2 linked regions of the Daphnia pulex genome follow. The protein of the gene in region 1 purifies or fractionates together with the protein of each later gene. This does not show direct contact. Links are inferred from orthologs where the notes say so. Each region holds a gene or a part of one and is shown in the gene's direction. Other genes may lie near its edges.

The links. The genes of interacting proteins can lie anywhere in the genome.
Region 2: the proteins of smad nuclear interacting protein 1-like (region 1) and apoptotic chromatin condensation inducer in the nucleus-like purify together in Homo sapiens (affinity purification with mass spectrometry; 3 studies listed by BioGRID and IntAct, counting the BioPlex papers as one, with this or other methods). This does not show direct contact. The link is inferred for Daphnia pulex from reciprocal best matches to the Homo sapiens genes SNIP1 and ACIN1.

Annotation. Positions count from the first base shown.
Region 1 is NC_060018.1:419,635-422,660, reverse strand, and holds smad nuclear interacting protein 1-like, read left to right. Parts: upstream 1-1,401; 5' UTR 1,402-1,457; coding exon 1,458-2,429; 3' UTR 2,430-2,513; downstream 2,514-3,026. Other genes in the region: sulfotransferase 1B1-like, read right to left, coding at 1-49, 132-228, 554-797; biotin--protein ligase-like, read left to right, coding at 2,577-2,585, 2,648-2,793, 2,862-3,026. UniProt on the Homo sapiens protein: Required for pre-mRNA splicing as component of the spliceosome. As a component of the minor spliceosome, involved in the splicing of U12-type introns in pre-mRNAs. Down-regulates NF-kappa-B signaling by competing with RELA for CREBBP/EP300 binding.
Region 2 is NC_060026.1:13,523,974-13,527,885, reverse strand, and holds the end of apoptotic chromatin condensation inducer in the nucleus-like, read left to right. Parts: coding exon 1-175; intron 176-623; coding exon 624-859; intron 860-925; coding exon 926-1,205; intron 1,206-1,272; coding exon 1,273-1,677; intron 1,678-1,742; coding exon 1,743-2,474; 3' UTR 2,475-3,285; downstream 3,286-3,912. Other genes in the region: RNA-binding protein NOB1-like, read right to left, coding at 3,367-3,491, 3,557-3,692, 3,765-3,883.

The DNA of each region.
Region 1 (3,026 bases):
CATTTTGCTGTGCTCTGGTGGAAGACAGCTACCAATCATGTATGGGAACCTTAAAGAGTCCATATAGTTCATAAACCGAAAACGGAAATGTCTTGTTAAAGCTCTCAATGACATCCCAACAACTGACATACTCTAGAAAGGGTGACCGAACTATTAGTGGTGCCTTAGATCCAATTGGATCACAATTGTTGAGAATCATCCACACTAATTCCTGTGTCCACGTCGTTCCTAAGTAAACAAATTCAAAGTTATCAATTTTATATGTGCGGGAGAATACGAAAAGTTAACACTTTCAAGATCCGAGAGATTTGTATTTGTTTGTTTCAAACTATGTGTTTTAAAATAGGCGGGGAGAAATACAAGGTTGCCATTTGGCTACTAGACTTTCAAGGCTACGGCCAAAAAAATTGATGACAAAGAAATAAATTGTGACGTAATAGCAGTAATTGCTAAACAAATACCACTAGGATATTTATTTTTACGAATTATTATTTTATAAAAATGTAGCTATTACATAAAAAAAATCTTAAAAATGATTGAAAAAGGATTTTACCGCATTTTGGAAAGGTTACTACCCAAACGTCGTCGCTTCTTGGTTGAAAACGTGAAATTTCTTTGGCATGGCGTGCATACTCATCCGTTAAGAGAAAACCACCAGGTTCGCTCTTCATCAGTCCATGCTGCTCGTAGTTTGTGAAGTGTTCTTTCAAGTCTCCATTCACTTCTACAGGATTGAATTTTATGTTCCACTCTGGAACAACTTCGGGAGGAACTGAAGGATTTTCGGGGTTTGTCATCGTGCGAGAGCTCAGACAACAAATGAAAACGCAACGGCAAAAAGGATCGAACAAAGACCGCGACGACTGAATGACACCGTGGCCTCCTTTTTTATACTCAACAGCGACTCAGCGAGTGCCACATCAAATTTTAACGATTTGGTTTTCGTCGTTAAATCAAATGCAAAATTATTAAATCCACGTAAATATGTATTACAATATCAGATATTTGATAATATTTATTTAAATATTTTACAACGACCCAACGAGCAAAAGAAAAATATACTTCTCTAACAACATAATTTTGATTTCGAAAATGTTATGCTGTAATCGATTACAAAAATTCTCAATTTGGCATACATAAGCATTACTCAATTTCTAAAACATTACATAAAAAAATGAGAATATAAATACATTAAAGAGCAGGCAGTGAGGCAGCAGAGAGCAGGTCCGCGGACGGCGGACCGCTAGCGGCTAGCCGTTTACAGGTGGTGGATGAAAGTAAATCTGGCAACGGTTACGAGTTGCGACACCATTTCATGTTGACAAGCCGAGAAACGAGTTGTATCAAACTGAAACTGAAACATTGAATTGATCTCGTTTTTTTGAGAAATACGCCAGAAACATTAAGGTAATTAGAGAGTACTTGTGCATATCTTGTTTTATTTCGTTTGGATCGCCATGGTAAAGCACAACGAAGACGAGAGGAGTCCCAAAAGGTCCCACGAACGAGGCCATGAAAGAGGCAAGACTCACAGACGTCGTGAAGAACGTGACTCTTCCCCACCACGAAAATCTTCACGAAGCGACCATTACCATTCAAGAAGTGATGACTATGAAAGAAGTCGGAAATCAGACAGCAGGAGACATGATTCACAAGTTTCACACAAAGAAAGTAATCGAAGAAATGACCCACCAATTCCAGTTAAAATCAAGAAAGAACCAGTTAGTGATGATGAACAAAGTTTCAGACGTCCACAACACAATGAAGGGCCTTCAAGACGGCATGAGCAACCACATTCAGAAGATCGACCACCAAGACCTTTTAAGCAGAGACGCAAAAGCCCCCGAAGTGAAGATGCTGAAGCAGCCAACTACCAGTATGGCCAACAAGTTAAAGATGAAGAAGAAGAAGGAACACTCGTTGAAAAGCAAAAACCCAACTTTGGTCTATCAGGAAAATTGACTGAAGAGAAGAATGTTTTCAATGGTGTGGTGGTCAAATACAGTGAACCACCTGAAGCCAGAATTCCCAAGCGACGGTGGCGTTTTTACGTCTTTAAAGGGGAAGAGGCATTGCCTACGTTGTACCTTCACCGTCAAAGCGCCTACTTAATCGGAAGAGATCGTAAAGTTGCTGATATTCCAATCGACCATCCCTCTTGCTCGAAACAGCACGCTGCGATCCAATTTCGGTTGGTAAACTACGAACGGCCTGATGGAACTGCAGGACGTACTGTCCGGCCATATATTATTGATCTGGAAGCAGCCAATGGTACTTTTGTAAATAATCAAAAAATTGAATCCAAACGTTACGTCGAATTGTTCGAGAAGGATGTGGTGAAGTTTGGCTTCAGTTCCCGCGAATATGTTCTCCTTCATGAAGAAAGCAAAACAGATGCTAGTTTGGACGATATGGGAGTGGGGCAGTGACACGTTGGTGACCAGCAATGTTTTGTATCATAACAATTTTCTTTTTTGAACGCCGCAATACACTTAATGTTTCTGCGAAAGGTATTCAATCGTCTTTAAGTGTTCTTTCATTTCATTTCCAGGTTTCACACATCAGTGGGGCTGTTCATGTTATTCGTAAGTTGTCACGTTAATTCAAATTTATAACTAAAGCAATTTTTACAACCAGTTGGTAACAGGTAACCAAAATTGCTGGTGTCATGAGACCTGTGGAACGACTGCTGGCCTCCTCAGCAAGACCGCCCAACATTCTAATATGTACGAGTGACAAAGAAGTTTTTCAGCAATATCGAGCCCTCTTTGAATCCACACTAGAGCCGGATTGGTATATAAACAGTATAGACATTTGATATCTGGATTCTTGATCTTAAACAATGTAACATTGATTGACAGTTATGCCCTTTACCATCTCGATGAACTCTCATTTCGTTCTAAAAAAGCTTGGCTAAGCAACACAAGCCTCCTAGTACTTGCTTCTCGATGGTCTGATAATGACTTGCACGATCCGCTGGAAGAGTACATCAAGAAGGGTGGTCAATGTCTTTCCCTACACCCTTT
Region 2 (3,912 bases), on another chromosome or scaffold:
AACGAAAGAGCCTGAGTTGAAGGATCAGCCCGAAACGAAAGAGCCTGAATTGAAGGATCAGCCCGAAACGAAAGAGCCTGAGTTGAAGGATCAGCCCGAAACGAAAGAGTCTAAAGAAGAAGTTACTAAACCTACCGATTCGCAAGAAGATAGCGTCGATTCACCCCCGGTTAAGGTAATATTTCTAAAAATGTTATAAATTTTTTATTTAGAGTTGTTCATAATTTCAGATAATTTTTATGTACCATTTAAATTTTGTTTCTGACCCAATTCTTTATGGAAAATTTAAATTTTTTCTTTTATTCCCATTTTTCACTCCCTCTGAGTACCTGGCAACGTTGTTTCAATTAGGGGTAGAGAATTAGCAGAATGAAAACTCGCTGTCGTCACAAACCTTTAAGCTCATAAGATCTGTTGCGTATTAACAATCGGTTGTCGTTGGCCGTTCCGAGTTTTTAAACTGTAACTTGATATTAATAGTCTTATCTTTACACGTGATACCATTTTGTTGTTAGTCATATTTCTTCGGCACTAGGGTATCTCACTAGCATCTGCCACGTGTGTAATATGGCATTGTTTCATTGAATCAATTTACTTACTTAACCTAATATTTATTTCTGTAGGCTGTGACTGCAATGGCTGTCGAAAACGAAACGCCACCGTTGATCAAATCAGATGTGTGTGAGCAACCAGTTGTCAAAGTAGACCCAGTTCCTGAAGAACAACCCACTGATGACAATGAAGAAGATGAACTTCAGATGGACACCACTGAAACAATTGATGAAAGCCTGAAACTTACAGAAGCACCTGAAGCAGAAGAAGTTGCTGACAATCGTGACCAGGGGCGTGAAAAATCAAGGTAGGCGTTTTTATTAAATGTCACAACAACAAGCAATAAAGTTAGTGTTTTCTTTAATATTTCAAGTTCCAGATCACCTAGCCCACGACAAAGCAGCCCAGAAGTTGAGAGAAACAGGAATGGAAGGAGTGTATCACCCCATGACACCAAACAGAAGGTTGAAGTAGCACCTCAGTCTGAAGTAATAAAAGGAGACACAGTGAGAAAATGGAAAATAAGGAAACAGTTGCCTAATGTTGAGGCTGAATCAGGAGAAACTGAAGCACCAAGAAAACGAAGATGGGGAACTAGCCAGCTTCTGCCTACCAAGAAGCCTGCCTTAGTTATTTCCACAGATTCCCTTAAGGTAACACATCAATACATTTCATGTGTTAAGTGAGCACAAAAATAATTGCTTGCAATTCTTCAAATAGTCTCTCGTACCGGATGCTAAACCACTCTCAGCGGAAGAAGTTCGCCTCGGCAGTCCTAACTTTCAACCCTCAACAAAACCCACCGTTAATCAGGCCCAAGAAAGTGAAGACCATCATTTACCAGCTGCTGAAAAAGTTGAAAAAATGGAGGTTGTGAGACGTGTAGCAGTTGAAATTGCGGCCGAAGCCTTCGCCCCTGCTAAACCAGAAGTTGTTCTAGCTGCTGCTGCCCCATTATTAGAAGCAACTAGTCCAGCCCAACAACCTCGATCATCCGTTCTTAATGTTTCAAATTTGGTTCGACCATTTACTATTAATCAGCTTAAAGAATTGCTTGCTCGTACTGGACACCTCATCGATGGAAAGTTTTGGATTGATAGAGTCAAGTCCTCTTGTTTGATCCAGGTAATTTTCTTCAATCCTTTTTTACAGTTCATAAAAGATGACTTATATTTTTCTTGTGTCTACAGTACGAAACTGAGGAAGAAGCTGAAGAAACTCGGGCTGCCTTACACGGAATTCATTGGCCTACATCTAATCCCAAAACCCTCCTGGTTGATTACTCAACTGTAGAAGAATTAGAGAACCGCATGTCTGGTAAAGAAACAACCAACCCACCTGTAGCCAAAATTGAACCAACAATGCGAGCGGCCGCCGCAGCCATCCAGTCCATTGAAGGGAAGCGAGACAAGGCTGAAAAAGTACGCGAATGGGATTTGGGAAAAACTGGTGAACAAGGATCCGAGAAATTAGAGCAAGCCCACAAAGGAGCACACCCCGCTGGGGAAGACGACGGAGAACTCAAACCAAAAGACGAAACGCCCGCCAAACTGTTGGACGATTTGTTCCGAAAAACCAAAGCCGCTCCATTCATTTATTGGTTGCCCCTGACTGCAAGTCAAATTGCAGAGAAGGAAGAGATGCGTCGCCAGAGGCTTGCTGAAAGAGAGACTCGTATACGAGAAGTTCAGCAACGCAGGGACGAAGAGCTGCAACAGCGACAACGTGAAAGAGAGAAACAGCGTGAAAACGAGCGCGAAAGGCAGCGTGCTCGGGAACGAGATCGTGAAAAGGAACGCGAAAAAGATCGCCAACGCTCTCGCAAACGCAGCAGATCTTCATCTAGAAGCTCGTCGAGCACTACCTCATCAAGTCCGAACAAGAGACGGAACAACAGTAAAACGCCCCCACGCAAGAGATAAAGATGACGAATATTTAACAATCTTCAGTCACAACACTGATTGGTTCGGAGAAGATTGGGCTAGAAAGAAACCAATCAGCTGCAAGATGACTACAACTACTCTTGAATTGGGAGACGAGTTCTCGAATTGTACGTGGAAGAAAACACCTTGTTCTTTTTTAATTAAAAATTTAGAACTTACGGAAAATACCTTATTCCCTAATTTCCTTCACTCTTTTATCCCCTTGTACACCTGCCACGTTTAATCGTACCCCTTCCCGTTTTACCTCTCTATTCTTATCCCTTGCCTTAGTTACCTTTCCCCTCTTTCTTTCCCTACTACCACCTTCTGGATAATCCGTTTGTTTGCAGGTCTATCGTAGCGAGCCATCCAATCTAAACTTTCTGAACGGGAATTTTATATCTTTCAGCAGCCGTTCAACTTGTGTGTGTTAACCCCTCATTGTCACCGAGGATCGGCGATTGATTGGGGAAAAGCAGAAGATGTCACAAACATAACAGAAAGAACCTATGATGTGAAGATTTACTTTAGCTTGATGTATGGGGCTACTCGGAAAAAATCCCTTGGTACGTTGTCACCAGACTGCTTTCTGGTTTCAACCAACGCATACTGTCACTGACACATTCAACCCAAATGTTCTGTTACGGGTTGAATTATGCCTGTTTGTTCTCCTCCCTGTAATTGTCTGACTCTCACACCTTAAGTTCCAATGGACTAATTTACAAATTGTTTGATTGGCTGGCGTACAAATTCCAATCGCTTGAAAAGGCATCCTACACTGTATTACGTAAATACAAAGTAATGAACTCCACCAATATTTTTGCATTAATTTAATTTTTAAACACAGCCGCTTGGCATAGTATATTTTCGTAACACAGACCTAAGGATACAATCAACGTTTTTTGTTTTTACGATATTCAGCAGGGTTCCGGCGATTAAAGTTGCTAGTTGCACGACCTGTTCGTCCAAGTTGCGCTGCGCGAGAATAGACATCGTTGACAGCAAAAGGTGAATTTCCTACACGAGTCGAGTAAACATCTTGTTAGTCGGTTAGGATTTCAATTTAAAACTTGTTTAATAACCTGCAACATAGTCGGGATCTAGGGCATTCGTTTTAGTACGACCTAGACGAGTAGCGCGTTGCTGAGCTTCTCTTTGGTCTTCTACGAGAATTGGATTGCAAGCGTATTTGCCTCCCTTTGGTGTTGGTAAAGAAAACTTTGAAAAAATAGAAAAGGCTACGATTAATTTTGATTTTAATTAAAGTTTAATGACGAAAGCCGTATTTACCTTCTTCCCACGAGCTGTCAACTTTTTTCTGCTAGAGATATGAATTTGCAGTGTGCCGTCTTCGTTCAAACTAACGGCTACTTTTTTCAATGTTTGATTTCCACATTTCGGACAGAAGACTGAAAAAGATAAACAACGGTAAATAAAA